Linked DNA regions of Macaca fascicularis. The protein of the gene in region 3 interacts with the protein of the main gene of each other region in a pairwise test. Links are inferred from orthologs where the notes say so. Each region holds a gene or a part of one and is shown on either strand. Other genes may lie near its edges.

Region 1 (4,803 bases), on a different chromosome or scaffold from region 3:
GTGTTCAGTCTTGTTTTCCTTTTGAAACATCTGTCAGATTCACTCCTTCCTCTCTGTTCTCAATCGCTGTCATCCTGGTCTGGCCCTCATCCCTTCACGCCACATGACCTTAGCAGCGTCCTTACTGGTTTTCCTGACTTCAGTAACTTAATCCTTTGGGATCTTGAGGTTTACACGCATTTTTATTTAACTATCACAACAACCCATGAACTAGCTATTATTATTTATGTTTTATAGATGAGGAGCTGAACGATAGAGCCAAGGTTTAAACGGGGTTTGTGTTGCTCCAAGGACTGTGCCATCTCCAGACTGGTGACCTTGGGCAAGTCACTTACCCTCCCAGAGTCTCAGATTTCTCATTTATAAAATGGGCATGATGGCAGTAATTATCGCACTGTAAGAGCAACCGAGATAACACTTAACACCCTGCCTGACACACACACACTAAGTGCTCAATGATTTTCAGCAATCAAAGTCCACAATCCTCATCCACAAACTCCACAGCATATCTAGCATATGAGTTGGCTAAGGTTCTGGGCAAAATGTTTTCTAGAATAGTCCTTGAACCACAGTGAGAGGAAGTTGTCATACCTGGCCCCTTCTTTATTCCTTGTAGGTGCGCTCTCCTGGGAGGCACCATATGCTGTATGAAAAATTACTTTACATGGTTATTTGCAGAATGTACAGCAACATAAAGTACACCCCATCTGGTGGAAAGTGCACAGAATCTGCAGTTCTGCTCTGTCCAGGCTGTGTGACTACAGGAAGTCGTGAAGCCTCTCTGAACTTATTTTCTCATCTACAAAATGGGAGAAATGGATGGCGTAGGGGCTCACGTCCGTAATCCCACCACTTTGGGAGGCAGAGGCAGGAGGGTCTTGTGAGCTCAGGTGTTCGAGGCCAGCCTAGGCAATATACTGAGAGCTCTATCTCTACAAAAAATTTAAAAATCAGCTGGGCGTGGTGGCTCTCACCTGTAGTCCCAGCTACTCGGGAGGCTGAGGCGAGAGGACCGCTTGAGCCCAGGAGGTCGAGGGTGCAGTGAGCTGTGATTGTGCCACTGCACTCCAGCCTGGGTGACAGAGAGAGTCCCTGCCCCCCAAAAAGGGGAAGGAGGGGAATAATACCTTCCCCCAAAGAATACTGAGATGATGCATACACAACTTTTTAGCACACTCTCCAACACAAAGTAAGACCCTACTTGAAGGAGCTGTGTAGCATCATAATCAGATACTATGCTTCATTTTAAGTCGAGGACCAGATAGATTTATAAATTACATACTGTCAAAATCAAGTATTAAAAGTAGAGGAAAGGTAAGAGGATTTTGCAAAACAGGTACAACTACAGTTTATCCTGAAAAGCCGACTGCCTACCTCTGAGGGAACAAGCCGCTCTTCACCTTCAAGCCTGAGGAGAGGGCGGTAGAAAGCCGCCCACCTCCTCCGCCCCGAGGGCTCCGCCTCCAGGGCGGAGGGACGCAGGCCCAGGCCCCGCCCACTGGGGGAGGGGCAGGCCCTGATCACGTGAGTGGGGTACGGAAGTCGTGCTTCAGGCGGCTTTCGTGATTGGCCGCAGCCGAGGGTCCTGGGGGTGGGGTCAGGCTCTCCGACTCGCCGGGAGGAGCCGGGACTGGAGGCTGCAGAGGGGGCCGGCTCTGGAGTCCGGGATTCGGCCAGTGGTGCTGAGCGAGTGCTGGACCAGCGGTGGTCCCGTGCACCTGGCCTGCGCGCGTGCCCGCTGCTTGGCGTCCCCCAGTCTAAGGCGCGGGCGGCTGCGGGAACAGGCCGGGTGGGCGGAAGGAGGCCGGGAGGCACGGGCGCTCTGTGCGCGGTGGAGGTGGAGGCGGCCGGGGCCGGGACGCCATGTCCATGGAGGACCCCTTCTTTGTGGTGAAAGGGTGAGTGTCGGCCGAGGGCTCCACTGGAGGAAGAGGTGGCGGTGCTGCCTGCCCGCACCTCCTCGGTCTTCTCGCAGTAGGGGGAGGGGAGGCAAGTTGGAGCTGGGGAGGGGTCACAGTGGAGACGGCTTAGTCTTGAGGGCCATGACCAAGCGTCCAGAGACGTCTCCTGCATCCCTACCTGGACGGTGAAGCCACTGTCCCCAGCCAAGCCCCTGGTGGTGGTGGGGCCTTTTTGGCCTGTGCGCTGCGGTACAACTTATTTGGGGGTCGAGGGGCTCAGCAGCTCTGCAGGTGAGAAGGAGACACGCAGGTCCTAGCTCACACTGGCCGTCTATTCGAGCATGGGACCTTGCTTCGAAGGAGCGAAAACAGCATCTGGGCAGGAAAAGGGAAATGGCCCTCCTGAGCTTTGTAGTTCGTGTTGACGGGGGTGAACTCCATTGTCCATTGAGTTTGGAGCGCTCGTCCGCAGGACTGGCGAGACCACAACAAGCCCAGAGGCGTCTGAGCACGTTTGCTGGGAGGGAGGCGGGGGCGGGGGCTGATCTGGGAGGCTGGGGAGCAGGGCACAGGAAGACAATTCAATGGGGGGAGTTTTTACTGAGTAATGTGAGGAGAGGAAAGCAGTCGTTCATACTCAGTGATGATTTGGAAGGAAAACAAAATGAAACAAGCCAAACCAAACTTTCCTCAGCTTTCTATTAGCAACCGGAATTTTCTCACAGTGCTAAAGGAAATGAGTGTTGCTTGTTAACTCCTTGATATCATCCAGGCTGTTTGACAGGTTTCTCCTATTTCTTCTGCCTTTCAGAATAGAACTGCCTTCTGTTCCCTTGTAAGCTGTCCTAACTCCATCTTGCTCGATTGTTTCTTTGGAGATAGAAACTTCAACTGCACTTTGTAATATCCACTTTGTAGCCATTAAACAAATGCAAGAAGATTAATTCTGATGTAACTTTTAGTTTCTTATTAGAAACGTGTCAGTTTTCTGTTTTAAATGTCAAACATGAAAAATCTGAAAACTGCAAAGTTCCCAAATCAGTACTGATCACAGAATGTCCCTTGCTTTTAACGAGTTGCTGCTAGCTTCCTATTTTTGTAGTGGTACAAGCTGGCTGTTGTATACTCAAGTATTGTAGAAAATTTAAATGGCATTTTAGGTGAAAGATTTTATCGATGATGCAGTAAAATACACTTATAATATTTCTTAACATTTCCCTGGAAAGGTCTTTTTCTTCACCTTACTCTAATTTAGATGGGAAAATGCTGAGTTGTAGATTTACTGGTAATATGTGACTTCCTACCTGGAAAATGTGATATTTATTAGAAGAATTGATTAGGGGTTAATTTTAAAAATGTGTTTTTTCCTTGATTGAAAGTTCTTAATGCTTAGGTTGGCAAAGGTTATCTCTGGCAGTGGAGATCAGAGATGATCAGAAATTTTTTGTTTGACTTTTTATGGAATTTGTCAAAAGCCTAAATTCTTCTGCCGTCGTGGCATTTTTTTTTTCTTGACGGTATCCAATACAGTCGTCTAATGCTTGTTCACTGATTAAATATCACTACTTTATTGGAACATTGGTTCGGAGTTTTGATTGACTTTTACATCATTTTAGCTCCTGTCTTTAAGGTTCTTGAAGGAAAAGAGATTCTCAGTACCTTCTACTGTGGAAAGGTAAAGTCACCCATGAAGGTGTATCCAGATTTTTTGGGAGTCATGCACCTGTGTTTATTAAAAGTATCAAGAATGCATTACACAGCATGGAAAAATTAAAGATGCCTAAATTATGGCCTAGGAGCTTCTAGTCTAATCTGAGAAACAAATTACCCCAAAATTAAGTAGAAATGACAGGTGGCAAATGAATGAGTGTTGAAGTGAATGCTGCAGATGATGAGTGCCCCAGGAGTTCAGAGAAAGGCATCTCCTTGGGAATTGTTAGGATTAGGAAAGCTTTTGGAGGCAATAAGTATATCTTGAATTACGTTTTGAAGATGGGCAGAATTTAGATAATCAAGCCTGTCTCTTTTATCTGGATGCTTATCAAAGAATCTTTTAATTGTTCTTCCTGCTTCTGGTCTCATTTCCTCTTTCAGCTGTCCTGGGATCTATTGGATCAGTGCTGTCCAATAGAAGTATAATGCCAGCCACGTACGTCATTTTACATTTTCTAGTAGCCACAGTAAAATAAAAAGGAACAGGTGAAATTAATTCTAATGTAATCTCTAGTACATTCAAAATATTCGACGTGTGATTAATACAAAGATTGATGAGATATTTTACTTTTGCACTAAGTCTTCTAAATCTAATACATATTTTACACTTACTGCACATTTAAATTTGGACATTAAATTTTCATCAGAAATAATTTATCTGTATTTAAAATTCATTAAATACTCTTTTTTTTCTTTTTTTTTTTTTTTTTTTGAGACAAGAGTCTCGTTCTGTTGCTCAGACTGGAGTGCAGTGGTGCAATCTCGGCTCACTGCAACCTCTGCCTCCCAGGTTCAAGCGATTCTTGCGCCTCAGCCTCCTGAGTAGCTGGGACTACAGGTGGGTGCCACCTCACCTGGCTAATTTTTGTATTTCCCTGCTAATTTTTGTATTTCCTGGGTAATTTTTTTTTTTTTTTTTTTTTTTTAGGACTACAGGTGGCCGCCACCATGCCTGGCTAATTTTTTGTATTTTTTAGTAGAGATGGGGTTTCACCATGTTAGCCAGGATGGTCTCAATCTCCTGACCTTCGATCCGCCTGCCTTGGCCTCCCAAAGTGCTGGGATTACAGGCGTGAGCCACCGCGCCTGGTCTACATACTCTTAATTGTTCCAAATATACATAAAAGTTTTTTGATAACTGAATTGCATGTCAGTTACCAAGTTTACATTAATTAAAATTTAATTTCTG
Region 2 (4,622 bases), on a different chromosome or scaffold from region 3:
TAAGTGCTGGGCACAGCTGCTTGTGCCTGTAATTCCAACTACTTGGGAGGCAGAGGCAGGAAGATCACTTTAGACCAGGAGTTCACAGCTGCTGTGAGATATAATTGTGTCACCGCACTCCAGCCTGGGAGAAGAAGTGATAACTCGTCTCAAAAGAAAAAATCAGCTGTAAAAGGAAAAATGATGTCTGGGTTACCTGTGGAGTCTGGGGGTAGTCCCACTATCACGCCTAGACAGAGATATAAACCATGAGAGGTTTCTAAGTGGGCCGTTTCAGTCCAAGTCAGCAACTTGGCATAAACATAGGCAACTGAGTTTAGCATCAAGCTTTCAGAACCTTCAACTGACAACCCAACGGCTGTTTCTAAATCTCAGACCATTTAAATCAGAATCTAGGTAACACGTGGGCACCTACGCAGTTTTAAAAGCTTTCCAAGTGATTCAACTCCAAGTGAATCAGAGTTGAGCATCATTGCCTTAGTCATGGCATTTTTCAAATTCGTTAGTACAGTTTTACATTAAAAAAAAAATCAAAAGAAGAGCAACTTTTTGGTAAGAGGGTGTCTATTCTTTCCTTTCCTTTAGTGTCCTCAGATCTTTCCTCCTGCTGTTTTGTCTACTCTTGTTCTTGAACACCCCCTCTTATTTTTATATCTTTAGAAAGTGCCTGGCAAAGCATTTCAGACAGTTAAAATACTCTATCAACAAAGGACCCATAGACACTGTATTCATTTTAAAAGATGTGTAGTGAATATGATTCAATGAGTAAAATAATCCAGCTGGGGCGTGGGAGGAATGGATAATAAAACAAATAAGAGAACGGAAAAACAAAATTAGGACTTGTTTTTGGTAGCCAGCTACAGCGGGCTTCGAGATCTAAACATGATACCAAATTGGGCGGAGGGGGAGGGAGTGAGGGAGGAATGGGCAGAGTGGCGGAATGGCCTGGCAAGGGCGATTTCCCTGAAACCTGAAGGCTTTCAGGTTACAACTAAGGGATACCAGGAAAAGAACACCGAGCCCTCGTTCCGTATCTATCTAAACTAGCTGTGTAACTTTAAGTCAGTCTCCTCTCTGAACCAGATATTCCACCTATCTAAAGGGAGGAGCCTGGCCTAGGAACCCCTAACATCTCTTTCCAAGTGTAGCTAATTCTGTAAACAAGGGATCGAACAGATCTCCTTTCTTCAGAAAAGGCCCCAGACGAACCCGAAGCAGGTCCACCGGATCGCGACCGGAACCTGGAGAACCGGTGGTCGTTCCTCCCCTAAAGCACAGCATAACCTTGGAAAGCTGCACCTAAACTGCGTGTGGGTCCGGGCTCTTTTAGGCGAAGCGCGTTCGGCGGAATCGACTTCCTCGACTATCTCCGTGCCCTGGACCCGCCCTCTCCGCCTGGCGCCAGGCCGCCGAGCGCCGATCGGCTCGATGAGCGGAGGCGCTTCTGCGGCGCTGCGGCCGACGCCGGGTCTGCATCCACTGTCTCCCCCTCCCAGCTTTTTACCTCGGCTTCCCACTCCTTCCCCCGCCCGCCCAGCACCGCCCGCCCAGCACCGCCAGCCCGGGAGAGCTGCCGGGAGTTCCCCGGGAGCCTCAGGTACTGGCGCTGGCCTGTTCCCAGCGGGAGGGGCTGGTGTGAGGAGGAAGGAAACGAAGAAGACGCCCTGCCTCGCCGCCCCCCGACGTCCTAGTCGGGCTGGTCGGCCGGCCTCCGGCATCTAGGAAGGGACCCCGGAGTGGGAAAAGGCTGGGGCCCGGGGTGTCGTGAGGAAGGAAGACGAGGACAGGGGTGTGCGGACGGGGAGCAGTTGAGGAAGAGAAGACTTGGAATGGAAGGGAACTCTGGGTGATGGGAAGAAAACAGTGCCATGGATGGGGAAGGTTTGTTAAGAGTGGGATGCAGTCAGGAATGCCAGGGGGTACCGTGGGGCAGGAAGGGCCAGTGTTAGGAGCAGATATATCCAGGGACGTGGCCTGGTGCGACAGATTGGGTGTGGGGGGTGAACGGAGCTGCCTGGAATTGTGTATTTAAAGGGCTCAGGAGAAAGAGCGCCAACCCTGCTGTGTTTATAATGACCGGAAGGTGGGGGTGAATCGTTACACTTGACAGGTTTTGCAAATGACATCTCCGGTTTGTGTCCATCCAAGTCACTTTATTTCTGTGAAACTGCATCAAGCAAGACGGCTGATGACAGACAAGGAAGACGAGTCAGAAAGGGAATGGAGGCTGGGAAAAGGAGAGCCTCTGCCCAGATTCAAAGCTGTTGACTAGATAACGTACTACTTACAAAAATGCATACATAGACATTTAAGTATATGCCGATGTATAAGAAGCATACGGTGATGTGACTTTTTTAAGTGAATTTTATAGTGGTGGTCTATCCTCAATGTGGAAGTACATGATAGCTCTCTTATTTACATGTATACCTAGTCACAAACACCTGAATTCACATGTCTTTTTTGTAGGAGAATCTTAGGCGGACGATATCCTTGTCTACTTTCTGAGCATGATTCATTTCTACTAGTTGTTTGATACACATGTCATCAGTTACTAATAATCACCAGTTGCAAATAACGTCAAAGTTCATCAACGTAGCTAATTAATCTGCCTACTGCTTTGCTGATGGGCTTTCTATTTGTTGCACATGGTTTCCTGGGATTAAGAGACCTGAATATGGGGTTTGCTCCTCCTTAAGATTGTAGTTTTACCCTATGTCTCATAAAGGCATTATATAAGTCAGCCTGTTGTTTGCTTTGAGATGTTGAGGGAGCCTCTTTGCAGGGGTTAAAATCTAAATACAGATATAGTTAAAAGCACAAGTTCTTCAGTAATTTGCCTTGTCATCTGTTTTTCCATGCATTCTGTTACATTTCTGCAAGAATTAAGTATTCTGAAATCAAAGTATGAGGAATAAAAGGGCCAGATGTATGTGACAGAAATATTGTGGAACCAAGAACTCAAGAGCTGTTAGGCAGCAAGAGTTTGGTTTTTGTTACAAGTGAATAATTTCTGATTTGGAAGCATTTCTTACCAAAGAAAAGTGTTTGTGTCCGTTTGTTTTGACAAGCAGCTGACTTAAAATATTACTTTTATTTGGTTCGTGAAACATGATTCTGGGATTATTCTTTTTTAAGTGTATATCATTAACCAACAAACTGATATCTAACTATACCTAATTTAAAGGGCTGTGTTTCTTCTTGTGGAGAAGGAAACAGGACTATTGGGTTGTTACCAGGAAGTGGGTCTTTCTAGAACAGAATTCTGTAAACCTGATGAGCAACTAATTGAAAAAAACAGTTAAAACTGATAATGCACAGCCATTGATTAATTTAGGCCTGTATCTCTGCTGTTTCAATGAGTGTAGTGACTAACGTTATCGTTACTAAACTTTAGTTTTCTCCTAGTTTCTTGGTGCCTACTTCAAAGAAGGGTCATAAAGAGTAAAAGAAAATGCATGCATATCACTGAGCACAGTGCCTAGCACACAGTATAACATTATTTCTGAGCTATCCTGAATTGCTGAGTATTCATCTACCATCTAGTCAAAAATACTGAAAATTCATTATTTGCATAGAACAACTTTTTCTCAAAAAAAATTTTTAATATGTTGCATACACAAGCATTTTCCTGGAAAGTCACAATGCATATTAGCATATAACAGGATGTGAGTCATTCTGTAGCAAAGAAAACTAGTTTTGTTTAATCCAGTTGTTTTGATAGAAGAAAAATTGAGTTTCTCCTATTCTCTCTCAACACAGAATACTCCTGTGACCCCAAAAAGACTTCTCCTCACAAGCAAGCAGGCAGTTCTGCAGCAGGTTCTCCAGCTGGGTGTTCTCTCATTCAATTCTGATACTGTATACCTAGAGATAGCATCAGATCGGGCAGGTTGAGGGCTTAAGCCTACAAGATTCCCCCCTTCAGGTGCCAGTCACAAGTTCCAGGTTGTTTTACCTGTGCTTCCAACTGACTGGCTATAAATCATAGTTCCCACAATCCCTTCCTTGTGTTCCATTTATTTGCTAGAGTGGCTCACAGAATTCAGAGAAACACTTTGTTTACTGGTTTATTATAAAGGATAGAGATCAACAGCCAGATGGAAGAGGTGCATAGGGCAAGGGGTACAGAGCTTCTGTGCCCTCTCCAGGTGTGCCACCGTCCAGGAACCCTCTACTTGTTCAGCTTTCGGGAAGCTCTCTGAACCCTGTCCTTTTTGGGTTCTATGGAGTCTTCATTAGTAGGCATGATTGATTACATCATTGGCCATTGGAAATCAGTTCAACCTGGAGCCCTCCTCCCCTCCCAGGAAGCTAGGGGGTGGGGCTGAAAAGTCACAGTCTTATAATCATACCTAGGTTTTTCTGTGACCAGCCTCCATCTTGAATCTATGTGGGGGCTAAGCTACCAGGCATCTTACTAGCATACACAAGACACATCACTGCAGGGATTCCAAGGATATGTCAGGAAATGGGGATTAAAACCAAATATATATATATATATTTTATAAATCACAATATCACACAGTACTTACCAAACTTACCCCTTTTTATGGAGTACCAATGGGACATTATAGTTTGCAGAATATTTTTGCATGTATTATCCAATTTGACCATCCCAACTC
Region 3 (4,017 bases):
CCCGGGGACAGTACTGAGCGAGGAGCTAGATGCAGGTGTTACCCCTCCCTGCCTACCCATTCCTATGGGGGTGCAGAAAGGCAGAGCCAGCCTGCTGTGGGCACAGCACCCATGGCAGTTTGACCTGAGCAGCCAGGGCTGGACCTGGCCCTGGCCCTGGGGACGTCCAGGAGGTAGGGAGGTTGGATGCCCGGAAGCCTTGGGCCAGCCCTTCCAGGAACACACGTGCACAGGGCTTTCTATGCTCTTTTTTGTTTTTTAATTTTTTACAAAACTGTGTGTCCCGACCAATCAGGACAGTGCAGGCCTCCCCCAGGCACTGAGGCCTGAAGGAGGAGGCCACCATGAATGAGCAGCTGCCAACCCCAGAAGAACTGTCTGCCCTTCTGCATAGGGGCCAGTGTGAGGAAGGGGTCCAGCTGGAGGCTCTGCCCTGTCCCCCAGGCTGCTGGGAGAGAAGGCCAGGCCCTGGGTCCCTGGTGCTCCTAGTGCCTGTAAGGAAAGGAGGGAGAACAGGGTCTGAGGGAGAAGGGAGGGCTGGGGCCAGGGCTGGGGCAGGCCAGAGGGCAGCCCACAACATCTCACCAACAATGTGTGACATTATCCAACCACTGTGACGCCAATGATGACTGCTAGGAGGACGACGGTGATGGACACACAGATGGCAATCAAGACTTTCTTCTGTGGGAGAGGAGGGGGTCAGGGAAGTCACAGAGGGTGCCTGGGGCAGAGGCTGGGCCTGGGAGGCTCACCTTCCTCGCCTTCTTCTGGTTCTCCAGGGCTGTCTTGACGTGCTCCTGCCCGCGTTCCACGTAGTCCGCTGAGCTCAGGATGTTCTTCTCAATCCGATTGATCATCTCCCCCTGCTCAGAGGATGGGGTGATTCAGGGAGGTAAGGATGCCTTTGCCCACCCCACCCCAGATGACTGAAGAGCATTCCTGGCAGGAAAAAAAAGATTGCACTAACAAAGACAAGGGCAAGACTCGATCTGACAAAAGTTCAGGCTCCTTGGAGATGGCTTCCAGGTCCCTTCTATCATGTAGTCCCTTGTCCCCTGCTCGCTTATCCCATATGACCTCTATCTGCAGTGGTAGCTTGGAGCTAAGGACCTCAAATGGCTCATACCTTTCACAGATGGTGAACTGTGCCTTCACAAATCTGTCTGAATTTACCCATTCTTCCAGGCCTATCTACAGCTGCTGCAAAGCCCTCCCTATCCCTGCCTCCTCCTGGCACCACCAGCCTCAGGTCTCAGTGCTCCTACTGAATGAGATCTCTTTCCTGTAAGTCTCAGCTGCAAAAGGGCACTGGTTGTAGCATGACTGAGGCCAGCTCCTCCAGGACAGGGCTGGAAGCTCAACTCAACTCACGCAACCAGGGCCAGGGGGACACCGCCCCCACCCCAGCCTTGTACAGATGTTAGGAGGCAGCCCCTCTAAGGCAACTCTGACTGAACCTCTGAGAGGTATCAGGGTGGATGCTGTTAGTGGAGGGGGAGCCAGGGCTGGGGCCAGACCTGGGCAGGCTCAAGTTTTGGAGACAGGGCAGGGTGCTATGCAGAAGGGAGTGGGTATCTGGGTAGCAGCAGAGGCAGGCGCCATTCTCGGGGTACAGCTAAAGATAAGAATAAGCACCAATTTGGGGGGATGGCCAAACCTGGAAGACACAAAAGCCTCAGGGAGAGAATCTAAGGGTGGCAGGAGGCTGGCAGTTTGGACTGAGCCTGGTATCACGTCTGGGGCTGCGCGGGGCACTCACCTGCATCTCCACTTCAGAAGCCAGAAAAGTGAAGATATCGTGCAGCTCACGAATACTGCGTTCAAGCTGCTGGATCTCACTGTGCCGGGCCGAGATCTCATTTAAGGCCTGTCGAGTCACCTGTGTGTCCTTCAGGATCTAGGGGGTGGACAGGAGTGGGGCAACTGTTCACAGGGAGACCGACAGCAGGTCAGAAGCTCCTGTTGAACTTCTGGGGAGCCCTCAGCCTGGAATCTGATGGGTGACTCCAGGTTAGCTAATTAATTCCCTTAGGGGCCTCAGGGTCCCCTCAATCAGAAAGGGACATAGCAAGCGGAGTCCAGTGGCTCACACCTATAGTCCCAGCTACTCGGGAGGCTGAGACAGGAGGATCACCTGAGCCCAGGAGGTCAAGAACGGGATAGGAATCAGAGGAGATGGGAGGCACAGCAGAGAGGGGCTGGCTGTGGCCACTCACATTGGACACGAACACCTCGCTCTGCCCACTATCCAGCATCTGCTCCAGCTCCTCGTCAGACACCATCCCAGCATTGGCTGTGAAGGAAAAGGCCAGGCTCAGGGCTGGGTTGGGATTACCTGCCCCTGCAGGCCAGGCTGGGCACACACAACTCACTGATCTTCAGCTGCCTCCGGATCCGCTCCACGTTCTTCTCCCGGTATTCGGACTGCATTGAATTGCACTTGTTGATGAGCTCCACGAATTGCTGGGACAGGACCCCATGCTAAAGATGAAGAATATAGGCTGGGTGCCCTGGGAGGATCCTTGCCCGGTCTGGGCCTCGGCAATCCCATAGTAAAGTGAGCAAATAGCATGAGCTCTTACGCGGGGTCTGCCACCTTAACCACTTTGTGATGACCTTGACAGGCTCCCCCATTTCTCTTAGACAAAAAGCCAAAGCCCTTAGCAAGTCTATGTGGCCCTCCATGATCTTTTTTATTTTTATTTATTTATTATTTATTTTTTGAGACAGAGTTTCGTTCTTATTGCCCAGGCTGGAGTGCAGTGGCGCAATCTTGGTTCACCACAACCTTGGCCTCCTGGGTTCAAGCGATTCTCTTGCCTCAGCCTCCCAAGTAGCTGGGACTACAGATGAACATCACCATGCATGGTTAATTTTTGTATTTTTAGTAGAGATGGGGTTTCACCATGTTGGCCAGGATGGTCTCAATCTCTTGACCTCAGGTGATCCACCCACCTCAGCCTCCCAAAGTGCTGGGATTACAAGTGTGAGCCACTGCACCTGGCCTATTTTTATTTTTAATAGAGACAGGGTTGACCCGCACGGTGGCTCATGCTTGTAATCTCAGCACTTTGGGAGGCTGAGGTAGGCAGATCACCTGAGGTCGGAGTTCAAGACCAGCCTGGCCAACATGGTGAAACCCCATCTCTACTAAAAATACAAAAATTAACTGGGTGCAGTGGTGGGTGCCTGTAGTCCCAGCTACTTGGGAGGCTGAAGCAGGAGAATGGCTTGAACTCAGGAGGCGGAGGCTGCAGTGAGCAGAGATGGCACCACTGCACTCCAGCCTGGGTGACAGAGTGAGACCTTGTCTCAAAAAAAAAAACAGAGAGAGATGGGGTCTCGCAATGTTGCCCAGGCTGGTCTCAAACGCCTGGGCTCAACCAATCCTCCCACCTCAGCCTCCAAAGTGCTGGGATCACAGGTGTGAGCCAAGGTGCACGGCCAGCCCTCTCTGATCTTGCTTCCTCTTACTGTTCCCTCCCTCTGCCCATCCACATTGGTCTCCTTACAGCCCTCCCTAGACAAAGCACACTCTCAGCTTAAACCTTTGCATTCACTTCTCATTCTACCTAGAATGCCCATTCCCCGCAAACACCTTTAAGTCTTTTGTTCAGATGTCACCTTCTGAATGAAGCTTCCTCCACTTGCTTTCAACTGCAACGCTACCCTCCTCCAGCATGCTCAGTCCCTCTTCCCCTGCTCTTTTTTCCTTAATGCTTATTATGTTCTAAATAATTCACTTATTTATTACGGTGATTGTCTACACCAGAAGGGAAGTTCCATGAGGATAGGGATCATTGATTCACTGCTGTACCCTAAACAGTTCCAAAAAGGTCTGGCACACAGTAGGCACCCAATATGTAACTGCTGAATGCTTGCTGAATGCCAACCTTGCTGCCTACACCACAGTTCCTATGCCTAGAGATGAACATGCTGCCTGGGCGAAACAGGTGCAACAGGCCCACATGGGCCCTCGACCACTCATGCCAATCACCACCACAGGCTTCCCCAGAA
Region 4 (4,469 bases), on a different chromosome or scaffold from region 3:
AGGCTAAGCTGTCGCTCCATCAATTCAATAAACATACCCCTACTTTTTTTCTTTTTACCCTGGATTCATAATATAGTTTGTTGTTTTTTAAACTAATCTTATCTAGACTGCACTAGCAGAAAAGGAAATCTGTCCATGTCAGGCCTAAACTAGGTTAAAGTATCTTTAAGGTCTAAGGAGGGTTGTGGTTGGGAAAATCCCAAGGAAGAATCAGTGGAACTGTGGAAAGCAAGAGGTTACAACAATTGCATGGGAAGATTTAGGAGTTTTTAGCTTATCAGGGTCATAGATAAATGTTTAGGGCACTGGGCCATTTCTCCTCACCTTTAATACACAGAAAATATTACACCTGCCTTTGGACAGCAGCAGTTAACTCATAGGGAACCGGAACAGTGGCTATTTTTTCCTCTCCCCATCAGCAACTGTTGGAGGAAAAAGCACAAGTTAGAATCTAGGTAAATCTGGGTAAACTTTTACGTAAAGTCTGAGGAAAATAAATTCCCACAATGCCAAACTACTATGGTAATGAATGGTTAGCAAGTTCTCAGACCCAAGATAACAAGACACCCCTCTTCTTCAGAACCTTGTGTGGGTAATGACTATGGGCTCAATGTCTCAGGAAGGTATCTCTCAAAAGGTAATAAATAAAGCCCAACATAGAAGTGGATTTTGTATATACGTTCTAACCAAATGCTTTCACAAATGCCACTTTTAAGATAAAAACATTTTATACTGGGGGCAAAAGCACTCATATTTGTTTTAGTTCGTAATTTCCCAGTCTTCAGTCATCCAAGTACCACTTTCAGAATTATCTTCATCCATCTGTACTATTTACCTAATATTGGTCTTTGAATTGACTTACTTTTCTTGTCCTTTATTTTTTAGTAATAATATCTGTGAAATCAGTTTTGAGATATTAAGTTTTTCTCCTAATTTAAATTAAAAGAACTTGTTTCATTCAAATATGTATGTGTGTGAAAATTTTGGGAGAACTTTAATATTCATTTGCTTATCAAATTATCTTGCATATGTGACAGTACCAATATGGTACATATTATTTTATTACAATTGCTAGCTGAGATCTGTGGGAATGGGAAAGGGTGGTAGTTAATTTGGACAGAAAGCTATACTACTTGTGATACACAGGGAGGGTGGGGGATAGATTGGGTGATAAAGAGGATGGAATTTCTGTCATTTTGCCTATGCCCTCTACCTCACTAGCAGTGTGTGACATTCCTATTATGGGTGCTTACACTGCACAGTATGTATAAGACCTCAGACTTCACAACAGATTTTACCCACATCTAGGACAGGGCCCCCAGTACATGCTCAAATGTGTCAATTCCAACACTCGTATAGTGCCACATAGTTCACAGTTGGGTAGGTAGAACTGCCAATTTACAGATGAGGAAACTGAGGCTTACTTTCTCAATGTCACACTGCTAGTATATAGCAGAACTGGTACTTCAGTCTAAGTTTCTAGTATCTACACACTACTATGCTTCATCAGTCTACCAAAACCAACAAGAGATAAGAAACCAGGGATATAGAAACTCCTATTTACTTGCTGCCTGGGTTCTAATCCTGGCTCCACCATGTAGCAGACATGTAAATTTGGGCAAGCTTTGCCTTTCTACATCTATACATTATGGCTACTAACAGTATCTATCTCATAGGCTTATTTTAAAGATGACAATAGTATCTATCTCATAGGATCATGTAAAGCGCCTGAAACACTGCCTTGTAACATACTAAAAGCACTATATTAAATATTTGCTATATTATTTATTGATTACTCTCCATGGACCACGCACTTTATACACATTACCTCATTTAAGCCTTCCAAAAACCTGTGAAGTAGGTATTATTAGTTCCATTTTACCTTTGAGGAAATTCAAGCCCAGAAAGCTTAAGGAATTTTTTTAATCCCTAAACTAGTACGTGACAAAGTAGGGATTTAAACTCAGACCCAACTCTAACAACTCTGTGAGACACTCAAGGAAGGTCACAGGCACCCCTGTGATACCTGGGCCTCTTTCATAGACCAACATAAGATATACTTCGATTTTAACCAGTTGCACGCACACACACACAAAAAGGCACTAAACAGATGTGATGGTTTTCAACATAGGAAATACCCGAATGTCCCATTACTTTAGGATACGGTCACAGGTGTCAGAATCAAATACTGAAGGAAACTTAATATGCCAGAAATTGTAGGTACCGTTTAAGGCACTGCCTGATTCCTTCCGATCTTAGCATGTAAGCAAATATCAATAACATGAAAAGTGATTCAGAGTTTGAAAAGTGGCTGTTCCCCTGACTGAAGTTCCCAACATCTCCAGTCTGGTGGCTGACATTTTTGCTCTGGGCTAGGCTTTGCCTTGGCTGAATAGACCCAGGAGGGACTGGTTCTCAAGGTAGCCCCCTGCCCCAGGTGGATGACCCAGGAAACTAAGCAGCAGGAGAAAAATTATCTTAAGCTGTCTTCACTGGCAGAGAGATTCAGGACAGCTGGGGCTTGTCCTTTTCTTTCGGAAGCCTCCTCCACTTGTTGAGCCAATTGCTCAGGTCTCCCTTCTGCCACATCGTTCCCAAAGTGACTCTTGAGGCAGGGTCTCAAGAGGTTTCCGTGAGCCAACACGGGCAAATATCTGGGTTCAGTGCTCACTCCATCCCCGCAAGACGTAAAGTAAGACACTGGTTCAAGTCCCATTCTGCCTAACAGAAATAGGAAATACCACCTCAAGCTCCCGCGGGCCACCTACACAGGTAGATCACCGTGTTTCTGACAACTGGGCGCCAGGGAATCCCTACCAACCTACTGACAGCCAAGTGCGACTGTCCCTCCCCTTTAGACACTCCTTCCCTGGCTGCCCAATACCCCAGGCGGCTCAGACGAGGCGCAACGGCCGCCCGCGTGGCCCCAGAGAAACCTCAAGTCGAAGGGGACGGGGTCCCTACTTGCCCGTCCCTCCAGAGCTCCGCGACCCCGGCTCCCACCCCAAAGGCACGGACTTGGCTCCTGCCCGTCGGGTAGGTCTTCAGTCCCGAGGGCGAAGACCGAGGCTGTCGCGGGAGGCAGGGAGAGGGAGGGGAGAGGCCGGCAGGGGTTCGAACGACCCCTAAGAAGGGAAGAAGAGGACTGGGAGGGGCCGGGTAGTACCTGTCGAGACGGGACCCGCCGCTCCGAGTGACGCACCCCGCAGTGCATTGTGGGGCCTGGGAGGGGCCTTTCGGCGGGGCTGCGCCGCGTCCAACGTGGCTCGCGCCCGCGGAATCAAACCACGCCCCCGTTCCCTCGGCTCGCCCAGGCCAATCGGATTCTGCAGGAAGGACACAACAACCCGCCCGATCCCAGGACCCGCCTTAGTCCCACCGGCTCCAGGAGAGATTGGCAGCGTCTCTCGCACCTGCGCCAGAAAAGTACAGTCCTCTGATGACAGAACTACGTTGACTTTAGAAATAGGGCCAATCCCCTCCGCTCGCCGCCCTGTATCTGCAGGCATTTTGTCTTTCACACGCGGCCCCTACAGCAGACACTTATAAAGGGGACAGGGAGAAAAGCCCCCTGTGGGTGAGCAAGGAGAGGACCTGGCCCCGTCTATACCCACACACAAGAAGGAAACAAACTATGGCAGAGAAGTGCCAGATGCCGACCCCTTGACCCCTTCCAGCTTTCGCATCGTTCATGCGTTATTAAACAGGCATTTACTGGCTGTTTACCATGTGCCAAGCACCGTGTTAAACGCGGGGTTACAGGAGTGGACATAACACTTGATGGAATTTAAGACGTAATTGGAGCAAAAGATATGAAAGCATAAATAGTTACAGAATTATAAATTGTGATCAGTACTGGGAGGGAAAATTAGTGGGTGCAATGATGAATTAATTTTGGACTGTCAGGAAAGAGACTTCTGAATAAGTGCCTTTTAAGCTGCAGGCATATTAAAGAACCTTAGAGAATGTTCCCCGTCAAGGAACTATTATGTGTGAGGTTGTTGGGGCATGAAAGAACTTCGTGTGCTCTAGGAAGTAAAAGGAAGTCAGTGTGGATGGAGTGTAGGGAGCAAGGAGAAACTTCCAAAATACAGCCTGAAATCTGTAATGTGGCCAATAAGAGCCAGCATGGTCTGGCCCTTGTCTCATCTCAGCCCAAGGTCAATGGGCAACTAATAAAGACTATTAAGTAGGATCCTATTTGCATATTTAAGAATCACTCAGGCTGTTTGTGGAGAATAGTTCGGAAGAGGGCAAGAAAGGCTGCTGGAAGGCCATTTGGAGGCAGTTGCATCAGGCAAAGCCAGAAATGATGGCTTGAACTAGTATAATGGGAGTTAGAGACAGAAAGAGGTAGATAATTTCAAGATATGTATAAATTAGAGATGGTATCCAAGGGACTTAATAACAGATTGGTTTGCCGGGAAGGGTCAAGAAAGAGGAATATTAAGGATGACTCCTTAAGTAAC

The links. The genes of interacting proteins can lie anywhere in the genome.
Region 1: the proteins of STX4 (region 3) and STX6 interact in binary tests that used the Homo sapiens proteins (3 or more experiments, as listed by UniProt). The two-hybrid records come from large-scale screens. The link is inferred for Macaca fascicularis from reciprocal best matches to the Homo sapiens genes STX4 and STX6.
Region 2: the proteins of STX4 (region 3) and VAMP4 interact in binary tests that used the Homo sapiens proteins (3 or more experiments, as listed by UniProt). The two-hybrid records come from large-scale screens. The link is inferred for Macaca fascicularis from reciprocal best matches to the Homo sapiens genes STX4 and VAMP4.
Region 4: the proteins of STX4 (region 3) and SEC22A interact in binary tests that used the Homo sapiens proteins (3 or more experiments, as listed by UniProt). The two-hybrid records come from large-scale screens. The link is inferred for Macaca fascicularis from reciprocal best matches to the Homo sapiens genes STX4 and SEC22A.

Annotation. Positions count from the first base shown.
Region 1 is NC_088375.1:38,509,706-38,514,508, reverse strand, and holds the start of STX6 (syntaxin-6), read left to right. Parts: upstream 1-1,608; 5' UTR 1,609-1,863; coding exon 1,864-1,898; intron 1,899-4,803. UniProt on the Homo sapiens protein: SNARE promoting movement of transport vesicles to target membranes. Targets endosomes to the trans-Golgi network, and may therefore function in retrograde trafficking.
Region 2 is NC_088375.1:29,354,136-29,358,757, reverse strand, and holds the start of VAMP4 (vesicle-associated membrane protein 4), read left to right. Parts: upstream 1-1,427; 5' UTR 1,428-1,597; exon of another isoform or gene 1,598-1,881; intron 1,882-4,622. UniProt on the Homo sapiens protein: Involved in the pathway that functions to remove an inhibitor (probably synaptotagmin-4) of calcium-triggered exocytosis during the maturation of secretory granules.
Region 3 is NC_088394.1:29,218,411-29,222,427, reverse strand, and holds part of STX4 (syntaxin-4), read right to left. Parts: intron 2,482-4,017; coding exon 2,373-2,481; intron 2,294-2,372; coding exon 2,217-2,293; intron 1,898-2,216; coding exon 1,760-1,897; intron 864-1,759; coding exon 753-863; intron 682-752; coding exon 601-681; 3' UTR 586-600; intron 493-585; exon of another isoform or gene 237-492; intron 1-236. UniProt on the Homo sapiens protein: Plasma membrane t-SNARE that mediates docking of transport vesicles. Necessary for the translocation of SLC2A4 from intracellular vesicles to the plasma membrane.
Region 4 is NC_088376.1:160,045,781-160,050,249, forward strand, and holds the start of SEC22A (vesicle-trafficking protein SEC22a), read right to left. Parts: upstream 3,196-4,469; 5' UTR 3,167-3,195; exon of another isoform or gene 3,004-3,166; intron 423-3,003; 5' UTR 354-422; exon of another isoform or gene 325-353; intron 1-324. UniProt on the Homo sapiens protein: May be involved in vesicle transport between the ER and the Golgi complex.